Pelodiscus sinensis: one gene and its partner. The protein of the gene in region 2 interacts with the protein of the main gene of each other region in a biochemical or structural test. Links are inferred from orthologs where the notes say so. Each region holds a gene or a part of one and is shown on either strand. Other genes may lie near its edges.

What was found. The genes of interacting proteins can lie anywhere in the genome.
Region 1: the proteins of LRRK2 (region 2) and YWHAZ interact on a protein array, tested with the Homo sapiens proteins (3 studies listed by BioGRID and IntAct, with this or other methods). The link is inferred for Pelodiscus sinensis from reciprocal best matches to the Homo sapiens genes LRRK2 and YWHAZ.

The regions. Positions count from the first base shown.
Region 1 is NC_134712.1:35,253,585-35,260,952, forward strand, and holds the start of YWHAZ (14-3-3 protein zeta/delta), read left to right. Parts: upstream 1-4,363; 5' UTR 4,364-4,458; coding exon 4,459-4,484; intron 4,485-4,890; exon of another isoform or gene 4,891-5,024; intron 5,025-6,814; coding exon 6,815-7,118; intron 7,119-7,368.
Region 2 is NC_134711.1:27,626,856-27,634,855, forward strand, and holds the start of LRRK2 (leucine-rich repeat serine/threonine-protein kinase 2), read right to left. Parts: upstream 3,001-8,000; 5' UTR 2,734-3,000; coding exon 2,535-2,733; intron 2,450-2,534; coding exon 2,364-2,449; intron 1-2,363. UniProt on the Homo sapiens protein: Serine/threonine-protein kinase which phosphorylates a broad range of proteins involved in multiple processes such as neuronal plasticity, innate immunity, autophagy, and vesicle trafficking.

The DNA.
Region 1 (7,368 bases), on a different chromosome or scaffold from region 2:
CAGACTGGAAAATTACCATTGGAGGAACTGAAATGCCAATTGTGATCCTTAGTGACTCAACCTACCGCTTGCTCAAGAAGCTGTACACAGGCAGTCTGGACCACACTAAAGAGCAGTTATAGGCTGAGCAAGTGTAGAATGGGGATAGAATGTGCACTTGGACTAGGGATGTTAAATATGGTTAATTAAGTAACCATGTAACCACTGAAAATCTTAGTGGTTATACCAGCGTTTCTCAAACCCAGGGGGGTCACAAGCAACTTGGGGGAGGGGGTCACAGGACATTCCATTTTTGGGGGGTTTTGGGATAGTCCGGTAAAAAAATGGAAAAAATACCAGACATGTGGAATGTCCAGTATTTTCTAGTTTTCTGGCTGGGCGCCCGACGGAAGCCTGGAGGAGGCGGGAGGAGTGGCTGGGAGGCAGGGCGCAATCAGCACTGAGAGCCTCTGGTTGCGTGTGACACCTTGGGGAGGAGGGGAAGCCCTGTACGTGTTCCTGAGCGCTGGTCAAGCGCGTTGTGGAACCTCAGCCAAACTCACTCGCGCTTTGCCGAGACTATGCGTGGGACGGGCAGCACCCTGGGATCTGCACGTGCCTGGGTCAGTCCTGCTCCCCGCCGGCAAATTCGCCCCCCCCCCCCCCGCCGTCCAGTTCTCCCCCACTTCTCCTCCCAATCTTCCCCGGCCAGCCCCGCTACCCCACCAGCCCTGCTTTCGGGGGCCAGTTCTCCCCTCCTCCTCCCGATGTCCCCCAGCCAGCCCCCAACCCCCCACCAGCCCTGCTTCCCGCTGGCCGGTTCCCCCGCGATCTCCCCTGGCCAGCCCCAATGACCCCCCAACTCCCCTGGCCAGCCCTGCTGCCCCCGCCAGCCCTACTTCCAGTGGCCAGTTCTCCCCTCCTCCTCCTGATGTTCCCCAGCCAGCCTCACTGCACCCAACCCTCCACCCCACCAGCCCTGCTTTCCGCCGGCCTGTTCCCCCACACAGCCCTGCTGCCCCCAACTCCCCGTTTGCTTGTGTAGCAGTGAGGATGGGGGGGTCACACAAATTCACTTAGAATTTTAGGGGGTCGTGATATTACAAAGTTTGAGAACCCCTGGGTTACACGATTACATGCTGTGGGCTCTGCAGTATACTGCAGAGCTTGCAGCGCAGCCAGTTCCCCGGGAGCAGGGGCGGCAGTCAGCACACACTGGGAGCCGGCTCCTAGCTGCTGGACCCACTCCAGGGGAACCAGCTACACTGCAGGCTCTGTAGTATAAGCTTTATACTCTGGGGGAGCCAGCTCCCAGCATATATCTCCTCTTGCCTGCCAGCACTGCTCCCAGGGAGCTGGCTGCTGCCCTGTGCTGCTGCCTCTGTCCGTGCACTGCCGCTCCCCCAGCGGAGTAGGAAGGGGTGGGGGGAGAAAGGGCCGTGCACAGAGTGCACCAGCAGAGCCCAAGCGCTCCCTGCTCTGCAGAGCTCCAGTTGGGCTCTGCGTGGTCTCTGCCGGGACTCCGGCAGCAGCTCCCAGGAGTGGTTCATCAGCTCCAACCAGCGCCCCTCCCCCTCCGCCAACAGCGGCAGCCGCCTGTGGATGATGGAGGCCGGCTGGAGGCTGCACACGGCAGAGGCAGTCCCATGGTGGGAGCGAAGGGCGTGCCGGACAGCAGCGTGTGCTGCAGGGGAGCTTGGCACTCTGGACACTGCGCACCATCCTGGGTTCCCACGCAAAGCAACAAGGGAGCCGCTTACGTGCTGAGTGGTGCTGGGGCATTACTGCTGCACTGCACTAGTACTAGGTGTCTGCGAGGGAGCCCCAGAGAGGGTGGGAAATGGCAGTTCTGTTTGTAGCTGGATCCCAACAGGTTTTCTGGGACATTTGCCACCTTTATTGGGACACCAGGACAGAACCCTTAAATCTGGGTCTGTCCTGGAAAAAAAGGGCTGTATGGTTACCGTATGCATAACACTTCTGAAAGTAAGGGAGGGAAATTTCATGTCAGATTGGGAGGTGGGACTTGAGGCAACTTGCCTAGCCACTAATTGTGAGAAACCAGACATCAGGGCAATAAGGTGAACACAGCAAGGGACACTGATAATCAGAGAGGTTTTGAAAAACAGGTTTGTGAATGACCAGACAGTGATATGGCAATCTTGTATGTTACTTTATAGGAGATGCCCCCTGCATTAAGTGTGCTGGCCTGTAAACCCTGTGACCGGCGCAATCTGCCCTATTCCCCCATGCAACAAAAGCAATAAAGATACTGTTGTAGAGAAACTTGTATTTAAGGATCACAAGAAAGCAGAGACTGAAAAGGAATTCCGAGTGAGAGCTGGGGCAAGGGGAGAGAAATCACTGAAGAGGAAATTCCAGTCTTCTGTTCTGGAAGACCCAGACTGTCCATTTGCCTCCTTTGTCTTTTGATACGCTGCCTGAGTTTCTTTATTTCCATGTGGCACTGCTGGGCATCCCTGGTGTATCCTTTTTCCACCATGCCCTGTGTAATCTTGCATTGATATCAGCATTTCTTTTTTTGGTTCATAGTTCTACCTACATAGATTCATCTTCCCCATTTTTTCAGGGATTTTCCTTCATACTCAGAGATGAGCTAAATTGAAAGTACTGGCCCTAGGGGCTACACGGGGGCACGGTGGGACACCTTCCAGAGGCCAAGAACATTGACTTTTAAAGCACTGTATCTGCACTACCCTACAGTTAAACTTAAAAAACAAAAGCTGATTGGGTAGCACTTTATAGACTAACAAAACATCGAATTTAACTTTGCTTCTTGCAAAAAGCAAGAGTACTGCAATCAACTTTAACAGCCCTTCAAGTCAGGGGAATGGGGTTGGTGATGTGGACTCTTTGTTTAGCAAATCAACTTAATGCAGCTAAGTTTGACCTAAACTGGTAGTGTAGTCAGAGTTCAGTGCAGCTTCACCTTCACCTTCAAGTCCGTATTCTATGGAGAGCAGGGAGGTGTTGTAGGGTGATCTCCATGCAGCCAGGGGCATTTGCTTTGCACTGCCATGCTGGTGCCTGCACATTTATTGACAACAATGAGATTTGCATATTATAGGCAGAAACTTTTTTAGTGGAGAATTTTTAATTTTTGGAGCAGAATTCCCTGGGGAGCATCATAATCTTTGACATGTTTGAAGACTGTAATCATGTCCCTCCCCAATAGTCTTTTCTCTGATTAAACATACCCAATTCTTTCAACTTTTCCTCTTAGTCCACGGAGGGCCCCAGTGTGCAGGGTGGGGGGACAAAACATTTTCTGGCAAGGTGATCTGGCTGTCGATCATCTGATCGGGGAACTGCAGCCTGACCATTTTTAGATCATGTGGCAATTTTCTTTCTGAGGAAGCCTTCCTCCCAGAAGTCCCGCTCACGGCTCAAAGCCCTTTCTGCTCTCAAACCCTTCCCTACACTTCCTCCCGAAAGCCCAGCCCGGCTAGCCCAGCAGAGCGCCGACCCCAGAAAGGGAGACGCACGAGAGACTCCAGCAAGGCCGCTAGGCTGGCCTCTGCTATTGCTGTGGATTGGCTGTGTCGGGCGCTCAGCTCCTCCCGCGATGGGAGCAGCCTGCAACTCAGACCGATGGATGCCGGCTTTGTGCTGCAGAGCTCGGCTCCCCGAAGCGCCCCTCCGAGCCGCGCGCTTCCTCAGACGGCTCTGCAACGTGGGGCGGCACATGGGAGCCCGGGCTCCGGAAGGCCGCCGCAGTCGGGGCTGTCTGAACTGAGAATCGGCCCCGCCCCTAGCGAGCAAGGCTGGTCTCCCAGCCCAGGGCGGGCCCGGCCGGCAAGAGGGAGAAGGCGGCAGAGTGGCAGGGCGGTATGGGGGATGGGAGGCTCGGTGCGCGGCCTCTCCCAGCCCCGCCGCCAGGGGAGCGGCGCGCGGGCCGCGAAGGCGCCTCACTCACTCACGCGCTGCAGTCAGAGGCAGAGGCGCGCGCGCCCGCGGCAGGGGCTGTGGTGGCCGGGCTAGGCGTGTCCCCCGCGGTGGTGCGCGCGCCGACGCCAGCGGCGGTTGGCGCGGCCCCCGCTCTGTGGGGCGGAGGGGAAGGCGCGGGCGCAGGCGCTCGCTCCCTCGCGGTTGCCATGGCCCCGTTTGACGTCACGGGCAGTGTGGTGCCCGTGCGTTGCGGCGCAGTGATTGGCGGAGACCCCGTGTGCGGCGCTGGAGAGAGGCTGCAGCGGAGAGAGCAGCAGGGCTAGAGGTACAGTCCGCGCCGGCTACTCGCCCAGAGACACTCGCGCCGCCGCTTCCTCCTTACGCAGGTAACCGGGCCCACGGCAGCGCTAGTCCCACGGGGCGCCCGCGAGGGCGGAAGGAGCTGGCGGGGCAGCGGAGGCCCCCTCCCCCCGCGGTCCTTCCGCAGGCAGCAGGGCGGCTCCCCGCGCCGCGCTCCCGAGGGCAGGGCGCCGGGGAGCCGGCCGCCGGGCAACTGTGCCGCCGCTGCGGATGTGGCCTCGGCCGCCGCTGCACAGGTGAGGCCGGATCCGCCCCGCCCTGTCCCGGCCACTAGGCGGCTGCCCGGGGAGTGGGAAGCGGAGCCGTTGGCGAGGCGGGGGCAGCAGCGTGTGACCCGGGGCAGGGTCAGCGGGGGCTGCTGCTCTCGCCGGGCCCTGGCAGGTGAGGCTGCGGGGGGTGGCTCGCCGGGCCGGGGAGGCAGCGGGCGCTTGGGGAAGGCAGGCGCGACCCTCCCCACCTGGGCGCGCGGGGCCCTGCGGGCAGGGCGCGGGCGGCTCGCTGGCTGGGTGTGGCCTCCCGCCGGCCGAGCGGGGTTCCTGGGGCCCCTCCTGCGGTGGCCCCGCCCCGGATCCCGGCGCTGGTCACTGGGGGCCCCGGCCGCGGGGAGTGTAATGGGCGCTGTGCCGGGTTCCCGAGTGGCCGCGGCAGCTCCTGCAGGGCGGTGACTGCGCTGGCGCCGTGGGGCGGGCTCCTCGCCCCCGTGGCTGCGGCTTTCCCTTCCGTCGCTGTGTTGGGGCGGGGGCTCGGCGGCCGCCTCCCCACGGCGCTGGGCTGAGGTGAGCGGGGTTAGCGCGTTAGCCCGGTGGGCTGGGCTCTGGCATGGATCCGCCATGACAAAGAGCCCGGCGGAGGCGCTGCCTGTCTCGGAGCCGGGCGGATGCGGCGGCGGCCGCAGCGCGGGAGGGGCGGCGGGAGGAGTCTGGCCCGGTCGTCCCTCCTCGCCCACGCCGTGTCGATTTCGTGTTGTAGCCGCCCAGTTCCCCGCCGCCCGCGCTCCGTGTAGCCGTGCCCACTGCAAGCGCGGCCCTGCGCTGCGGCGAGCTCAACAGCACCATTTTATGCTGTCAAGACACGATCTAGTGTATAGAGAAATCGACTGGCATTTTCCCATCCTCGCGGTGCTTCATTAAAGTAGCTTTTCCTCTGTTAAAGTGCAGCAGTGCTGGCTAGGATCATGGCGTGCTAGTCTAGTGGCGTTGGCTAGCCAATAACCACAGTTTGATAAACTGGCTTTCAGATAAGATTTTAACTATTTGCCTGTCTAATCTATTCTGGGTGGTAACAGCTGTAGGTGAAACCATTCTGTAAAATGGCTTCTTAGCAGTGTTTGCAGTATGGTCAAAGGCCTTAAACCACCCTGGCAAATATTACAGAGAAATGGGAGCAACTAGTGTTGGTTAAAACAGCTACTGAAACGTGCTATAAATAACCTTGAGATGATCTGATCTCTGAAAAAGATCCAAATTTATTTCATTGAGTTTAAATACAAGAAATTCTATTCCAGGTAGTCTTATGTGAAATATCACTTGTATAAGCCAAATCAAAACTGTTGGGGTCAATGTTATGGCAATTGGAATATGTAACATAAAAACACAGTATGCTTAGGTGAAATGATTTTTCACTTTTTAGCCTCTGCAGTTAGTATACTAATGAACCATATAGCTAGTGCATATTGTAGGGCTCAAAATAATTATCAGGAGCCAAAAATTCATGAAGTGTGTGTGTGTGGGGGGGGGGAAGATTCTGACCAGTTAGAGATACAAAAGGGTGTGCTTTAATCAAGTTAGGTTAGTATGATTGAAAGGGCTTGTTAAGATGCAGTCCTGAAGGGCTACAACACACCCAACTAACATTTGCATCTCAATGATGGTTTTCACTCAAATTGAGCAATTTAACCCATCAAACCATCACTAGAGAGTTAGAAGAGCAATGCCCAGGTGAGAAGCTTAGAGTCTCCCATTCTAGCATGGGTGTATAATTAGGGCCTGAATTGTAATATTAACCTCTGGGTGTCTGAAAGTTTAAAAGCAGACTTCTTCAGGGAGTAGAGTTCTCTGCTACTACTTCAGTCTGGAGGGTTTTTTTTTAATTTCTATTTTTCATTTTTTGGGGTGTTTTTTCTCTGAACTGCTTAAGGGTAAGTTACTGATGCTCTCTCAATTTGTTCTCTAATCATCAGAATAATGCAACTGAAGAAGTTAATGATGCTGCTTGGAAGTCTGAAGAGAATTCTGAGCAGTGGCAAGAGTTGTCACTACATACTTGAACAGCACAGAAATGGTGCCCCTTAACATTCTGAATGTGGTGATTTTTTTTTTAACAAATGATTATCAGTACTAATTAAATAAAGGTTTGAATTTGTAGAAATATCATAGCTTGAACACTTCCAAGTCACTAGTTTTATATATATTCCAGCATTCAGGGCCAATTTAGAGTGCCTTAATTGCATAATGACAAGCTAGAATATTGCATATTTTTTTAAAAAAAGACTTGTTTTATATATATGAGGCTATTTTGCCCTTGATGAATATTGTTTGAATAATGCCTTCGTGTTTTCCCTCTTCAGCAAAATCAGCATGGATAAAAATGAGCTGGTGCAAAAGGCCAAACTGGCTGAGCAGGCTGAGAGATATGATGACATGGCAGGCTGCATGAAGTCTGTGACTGAGCAAGGAGCTGAGTTGTCCAATGAGGAGAGGAATCTTCTCTCTGTTGCTTACAAAAATGTCGTAGGAGCCCGTAGGTCATCTTGGAGAGTCGTCTCAAGTATTGAACAAAAGACGGAAGGTGCTGAGAAAAAACAGCAGATGGCCAGAGAATACAGAGAGAAAATTGAGACAGAGCTAAGAGATATCTGCAATGATGTGCTGGTGAGAGATAATAAAACTGTATTTAATTCATGTTTTCTTAATATTAGGGGATAAATAGTTTTGACCCTGTTCAGCTATTTTTCAGTCCCTTGCTAAAAACTGAGGCATTCCATGCAAGGCATCCAAATCTTGCAAATACCACCACTTCTGAAAAACAAAGTTGGATAACTGGATGGCGCCTCATCCTTAAATATATAATTCCAAAACTTGTATTAAAGTTCTCATGGGCATCAACTCTTAACATATTTGC
Region 2 (8,000 bases):
GCTCAGCCAGAAGGAAATATATTAATCAATCCAGACACCGCCCTTACTTCAACTTATTTCAAAACATTGGTCAATTTCACTTTTGTGCTACAAATTAGAAAGAGCTACTGCTCTATTAACCTGTGCAATGAAAAACAGTTGTTTTGGTTACACCTTTACAGCATGCCTACACTAACAGGGGATCTACACACAGCATCTACAGTCCTTGCCACAAACTCAGATTCAAGACTCCCACAAGTGAATCACAATGGATGAAGCAGGGAAGATAGAGTATAGTTAGTGTAGAATATTTTTAAATTTGTTATAGCATTAGGGAATAGAGGAAAGGATGGTTGCAGCACTTCGTGACATTAAGTTTTTGAGTTGCATCTGGCTAAGTCCTTGGTTAAAACAATATTAAAGAGCTATAAAAAGTCTAAAGTAAACTCTCGAAGGCTAAGAAATTCAGATAAGAGGCTGAAACTTCATTTTAAAACCATTTTTAAGAGTACACTAAAAGATATTACCCTTGCATCCTAGCCAAATTGCAGTTCAGGTATAGTTACCACTTTCTTCTTTATCAGGTTTTAAAAATTTCCCATACAGTTGCAGTTTGAAGTACTTTTACTTACTATTCTTGACTTCTGTGCCATTCTGCTATTGCTAAACAACTGATAGGTTCAACCCAATTTAAAAGCAATGGCTATACAAATTTTTTACCTATGTGATAATTGAATAGTGAATTATGAATTAAAGTTTCAGATTCCTCACATTACCTGGTTATCCTCTAATAAAAGATATAATAATAGTGCAAAAAATTACTTTCATTGTTATTATTAATGTAACAACTATACATGACAGGTAAAAATCAAGAATACAATTTACTGCTTACTCTGAATTTGTGTATCTGTTAATGTAGACCATTCCCATTATTTAAAATAGATATGGGGGGAATTACATTTTGCAGCCGAACAAACTGAACTTTTAAAAGGTGAAAAAAATGTAAATCATACATTTATTTTTAGAAAATACAAACCAGTCTTACAGAGATCATATTTCTCCATATATATATATACACAAAAGTTTTTTCTGCTGCATGTGACAGAATTATGTCATCAGGCTCTCTGGAGAGAGGAGGGTTGGTGAGTGTAGTGAGCAGGGCATAGCCTCCTAGATGTCTTTAAACATCTTTTGGGGATAACATGCATTTTATTTTACATGATTGACTGCTAGGAAGGATCTCTGTCTGAAAACAAATGTGAAAATGACATTGGAAAGCACCTGCAATATTTAATATAAAATGAGTCAGCCTTAAATAACAGAGGTAACCAAACAGAATAAACTACAGAACTTTCCCTGCTTTGTTTCTGAAGTTGTCCTGAGCATGACAGTGGGTATAAAAGACAGATGTTACTTCCTTAACACATCCTGCTCCATTTAGAAACAATATTGGATTATCACAATGTTTGTAGTGCATGACATCATATGTGATCTGTGCAATATAGTTCGTATGTAATTTATGAACATACTTTGCTTTATTTTGATTTAGAGCTTAGGAAAAGAGACAAAATTATTCTTTTTAGCAAACAGCTGACAAAAAACTTTAGCCATCCTTTACAATGTAAATACTACATACAGCATTTTTTTTAAAAATCATTAATATTCTAGAGCCGTGGTCCAGGACTGTGGTATACTATATTAGGAACATTAGCAGTGCGTCTAGACTGGCAAGCACTTTTTGCGCAAAAGCATCCTTACTAGACAGGCTTTTGTAGAAATACTTTTAACAGAAAAACTTTTAACGTATAATGTAACAGTAGTAACTATTATAATCTGTTTTCCAACATGTACTTTGATACAGAAGAAATCACAACACAAATAACTGAATTCCACAGATTAATAATACCCCATTTACTATTTTATTTATTTTTAATGCACATCTCTCTTTAACATGGTTATTTACTGGAACACCTGATGGTAACTATACAGAACTGCTGACTTTTGGGCCCTGGAGCTATAGTTTTGTATTTCTCATCTCACAGTAATACTGTCACCCTATGTCATCTCCGCGGTGACAATATGGTCAGCAACAGCATTTTCAAGGAGACTATTCCTGTGCACCACTGTCTAGCGGTCTTCACACCTGCCTGTCTGGCACAAGACGCCCGTGTCTGTTGTTACTAGCTGGCCAGGAGCGGAGACTTGACCGAGCTGGACAGTCCCAAACCTCGAGGAAGTTTCCATGTGGCTCATTAAAAACCAGCGCCAGCCGCCAAGTTGGGCTCTGAATCCAAACTGCCCGCCAAGTTGCGGGGAGCTCGGGGCTGGCTCGCCAAGGGGCGGTGTCAGGCTCTGGGTCTGCCAGCTAGGGGTGAGGGGTTTACCTGCTGCACCGCGGCCACGCGCAAGTGGGAGTCCAACACCAGCAACAAGGGCACGTGGAGGTTCCGGCCAGCGAAGAGCTTGGGGGCTGAGGAGAGAGGAAAGAGCCGGTTACTCGCGGGGCCGAGCCGGGGAGCCGTAGCGGGGCCCGCCCGCCCGGGCAGGAACCTCACCGCGGGGCCGGTGGGCCAAGGCCAGCAAGTCCTCCAGCGTCTGCAGCACGCTCTGCAGCTGCGTCCCCTCCTGCACGTTCGTCAGGCGAACGACCAGTTTCCCCAGGGCGGCTTCCTCCCTCTCCTCCTCCTCCTCCTCCGGCTCCTGCTGCTCCTCCCGGCAGCGGCTTCCACTGGCCATGTCCGAGCCCCGCCTCATCTCAGCGAGTGTGCTGGGAGCGCTCCCCGGCTGCCGCCGCCATGTCGATCCCGCGGGCCGCGGCTCAGCCCCGCCGCCGGAGTCATCGGACTATTTTTAAGCCGCATCCCCGCCCCTTCACCTCAGCGCTGACAACATCTGCGGCGAGTGTCCGCAGGCCCGGCCCAGCTCGAGGGGAAGGGGCCGCAGCGCCGCCCGGTTGCCCGTAGAGGGCGCTCCCGCTACACAGTCTCGCGTTGCAATCCCAGCAGGATTCGGTGGGGAGGGGGCGTTAGGGTAGCATCAACCAATCAGTTACAGCCACTGACAGCCCCGCCCTCCAATCGCATGGGAGCTCTGGAGAGGCCCGCCCCTTCCTGCCTCTCTCGGTCTCATAAGGGGGCGGCGAGCCACGTAGCGCTTCTGACGCGTTCTTGTTGGTCGCGAGGGTGGCTGGCCAAGGCATAGCTAGCTAGCTGTGGTGGCCCCTTTTGGGGCCCTTACGAATGGGGCAAAAGGGTCTCATGGGGTACGAACAGGGGAGTCACTGCGGGTGGCTGGGGTGGGCCCCAGAAGGGGCCTGGCTGAGCAAGAAGGTGCTGTGCTCCAGGCTCGCCATGTGTCTCAGGAAGGGCTACAGTTGATTTTCCAGCTGTCCCCCAGATGGGAGGGTCCCAGGCATGTTAGGCTGCCTCAGAGCCTGGGTTGGGTGCTGTGATTACTGGTCAGAGCATAGCTGTTGCGGACACCCCATCCTTCCTCTTGGCTGCTGCTACTATGAAGTTAGAACATGCACCTCCTAGGCTAGGCCTTTGAACTTCTCAGTACTTGTCTCAGTACCAGTACAGTCAGCTGTCCTTTGCAGGCAAGAGGCTCCAAATCATAGGGTTGCCAGGTGTCTGGTTTTGAACTGAACAGTCCTGTTTGGGAAACAAATTGAGAAAATATAAATATGGTCGTTTCTAAATAAGATGTAATGTAGCTTGTGATGTCACGTCAAGTGTGTCCAATATTTTTGTTGAAACCATTTGGCAAGCCTATTAAGCAATTAGCTAAGTCCATCTCCAGAATGAGGGGACTTTCAAAAAAAAGCGCCTCCTTTTGAGTAAAGGAGCAACTCTGCTAATGAACTCTAGCTATCATCTATTATTTATATGACAGAGGCTTAAGAAGCATTGAATTTACTGCAAATTTCTGAAGTATAAAATAAAATAAGATCTAGAGTCCCTCATCTCACCCAGGAGTGGCCCGAGGCCAGCTGTAGCAGCTAGCGCCCCAGGCAGAAGGCGCAATTGGTGCCCCTGCCTGCATAGCGGTCAATGTCTGTGATGTAATCACAGGGCGCCCCATGACATCATCATCGGGCGCCTGGGCCAGCGGCGCTCTAGGCAACTGCCTAGTCTGACTAGGCTCATGGGCCACCCCTGATCTCACCACGTTTGAAATTATTTTGAAGTGGGATAGCTGTCTCTCATTTTCATGCCACACATGCTTCTATTATATACAATTATTTGAAATTAATTTAGCCACACCATTAGTGGATTCAGGAAGGGAAACAGTGATAATGTGATTTAAAATTTATAAACTTCAAGTTCTTGTGATTGTTCTTTTGTAATAAATACACAACTAGAAAATACAGGAGTTTCAGTGTACTAACCAACTTGTTAGTGTATCTGTCTTTAAATTCATCAATGTGTCTGTCACATCTCCAGAATAGTTGTAAAAGGTGCCACATGAAAAATAATCATCTACAAATGGGGCTTGCAACAGTATGTTAATGAAAGTATTGCTAATTTTTACTCTTAATCTTTTAGGCTGCATCTAGACTGGCAAGATTTTGTGCAAAAGCAGCCACTTTCTCTTTGCTGCTTTTGCAAAAACAAACCTGTACTGTCACCAGTTTTGTTTTTCACCTTTTTAAGTGCTTCAAGCCTGATACTACAAATCACATTTTTAGTAACTAAATTGTAACCAATACAAAATTCTTCTGACTAAAGGAAGAGAAATTGAATACTTTTAGGCTACGTCTACACTGGCAGCTTGCGGAAGAACTCTTTTGCGGAAGAGTTCTTCTGCAAAAACTCTTCCGGAAGAGAGCATCTACGCTGGCATGTGCTTTTGCACAAGAGATGTGCTTTTGCGCAAGAGCATCCATGCCAGGGTAGACGCTCTCTTGCACAAGAAAGCTCTGATGGCCATTTTAACCATAGGGCTTTCTTGCACAAGAAATTCATGTTGCCTGTCTACACTGGCCTCTTGCACAAGAACAGTTGCGCAAAAGGGCTTATTCCTGAGCGGGAGCGTCAGAGTTCTGGCACAAGAAGCCCTGATTTCATACATTAAAACGTCAGTTTACTTGCGCAAGAACACGTGGCCAGTATATACAGTAGCATGTTTTTGTGCAAGAGCTGCTGCTTTTGCACAAGATCATGCCAGTGTAGATACAGCTTAAGAGTAATTAAGTTTTTCTCTGTTAAACATGATGATTGCCTTACCGTTTTTGAAGGAGCAACTAGGATTGTGGAGTTATTGAAGCTCTCATGCTTACCTATACCCTGATGCCCTGGTTACTGAAAAGCATGCACAGTGCTTAATATAAAAACACATGAAGAAAACACCAACTTAATGCTTCTTTTTAAAATGTTTCATTTTTTATACACAAGCATTCTGAAACACCTACAAATCGTTGGTTACTGCAAATGCTTGTTGACTAAACTATCCTTGAACTATTAGTATCAACTTGATACTCAAAACATAGGGCAGTGCTATCTGAATCAAGCCATATTTTTAAGTGTTATACCAAGAAACTCTTATCTTGGTTTAATAATTATCAACCACAAAACCATGACTGCATTTGTGACATGAAGTTTTAGCTTGTTTCCCTTGAAAGGCAAAGCCCTAAAAAGACAACGTGTCAGTCTGATGAAACAGTGATTCAGATTTAGAAATTAGTTAAATGGTTTCTCACTTCTGCTAACTTTCCTAATGACAAAGTTGATTGATAAGAAATAGATCCATATCAGCAAATCTAATACAGTTTTCTTACTGCAGAATTAATAGTTCAAACACTCTTTTCAAGGAATGGTGATAGATGCATTGCAGTCTTGACCTTCAGACAGTTGTTGGCACCAGAAACTTCAGAGGAAAGTTTAAAATATGCTGTAAATTATATAGTCAGTAATTACACCTTTGGGAAGACTCTCTAATACCAACTATGGGTTTTTATATCTCCTCAAATGCTTATCTTAACTAGCATAAATTGCACATTTTTACTAATCCTGTTTACATAACTGGTTAATCCTAATTTGAATTCTGTTGTGGATGCTATGCCTTCCTTTTTGAAGAGTGATTACGGTGTAATGATATTTGTAATGGGGTGTTAATTTTCATGTGTGTGGCTGCCATAAATAAATTTTAACTCTTTTTGGGGGAAAAAAGTGTCCTCTCAATCAATGATATAATTACTAAATTGCATACTGAATTTTTGAGTTGAAAGTTAATGATTCATTATAATTGGTCATTTGGATCTTCATATCTTCATAATGTAATGTAACAGGTGGTCTGGGTGCACTGCTGAAAGGGTCAAATCAGGGCAAATTGCTTAGAATCAGGCTATTTACACCTTCCTCTATAACTACACTTTAGCTGTCAATCTGGACAGCAAGAAAAGTTACACAAACAATCCCTTTAGACATGCCAGCATTATCTGCGTCACAACCACTATGATACCTTACACATGTGAGCAGTTATGGAAACAGATCTCACCAGCTCTGAACAGGTTCTCCTGATTCTAAAGGACCAGACACAGGTCAATTTATACCTTAGCTCAAGGGTGGGGAGCCTAAGGCCCGGGGGCTGGATGTGGCCCTGCCTTGTCTGGATCTGACCTTTGAAGCTCAAGGCCCCTCCTCAGCATTGGGGAGCCTGTGCTGGCACTCCAGCCCCTACTGTCCCCCTGTGGGACCGGAGCACACAAACTCTACTAGCCGAGGCCCCCCTAGCTATGGTGTGCAAGGGGAATGTGGGGAGTGTCTTTCTCCTCCTTAGTTGGGGCCACATCAGTGATGATTTTGGTGGGTTTTTATGCTTCTCGCTTGTGTGTGGACCCCAACTGATTTTTCTGTGGGTCAGTGGCCCCTGACCCAAAAAAGGTTCCTACCTCTGCCTTAGATCTTACCCAAAAGAACACACCATACCAGTCCATTAGAATCTAAAATCTAAAAGTTTGTTAATAAAGAAAAGGTTGAGAGTAGAATTGTTGAAGAAAGCACATTACATACATCAGTCACCAAGTGCTTGATGCAGGCTCTTAGCAGAGATGTAATAAACCACTAGCTTAAAAGTCTCTGGAGTACATCCTGGCTACGTCTAGATTGCATCCCTTTTTCGTAAAAGGGATGCAAATTAGACGTATCGCAATTGCTAATGAAGCAGGGATTTAAATCTCCCCCGCTTCATTAGCATAAAAATGGCTGCCGCTTTTTTTCGTCACGGAGCTTTGCCGGAAAAAAGCGCCAGTCTAGATGCGGATCTTTCGGAAAATAAAACCTTTTCCGAAAGATCCCTTATCCCTCTTAAAATAAGGGATAAGGGATCTTTTGGAAAAGGCTTGGCAAAGAGGCAGGGAGAGCCATGAAGTCAGTGGCTTCCTCTGGCTGCCTTTCCTACCACAATGGCTGCCCAGGGTGCCTGTGCCTTTAAGACATGGCTACAGACAGGGACAATAGAGGTTTCTCCTGCAGATGAAGTGTCCACCAGGACTTTTCCCTGGAGACCTGTTTTTTCAACAAACAAACAAACCCCGCATCTATACACGCCTTTTTTCGATAGATCTCTTCATAAAATGAGGAAGACAAAACCACCGTGTTCTTTCGATTTACTTTCGAAAGAACACGGTGGCAGTCTATATGTGGGTGAAGTTTTTTTGAAACTTCTGTTCCATTGAAAGAAAACATTTGTACTTTTCCTAATTACCTTGCAAACTCAATGAGAGATATTACATCTCTTTTCAGCAACAAGCTTGTTGTATTTGGGGGTCATATTTGAAGTGGATATTTTCATAATGTCTTCCAAATGGTCATCAGTCAGAGAAGAACGTTGCTTGTTTTTATTCATGTTCATGGTGGAAAATGTTTCTTCACATATGTAAGTGCTTCCAAAAATGCTGAACGTTTTCAGTGTAAGTTCGATAAGATTTTTGTACTTTTCATTGTCCAGACTTTTGTAGAAGTACCGCAGGCTGCTTTCTCTGTGCTTATTTTGGTAAACTGCTGAACATTGAAGTTCAA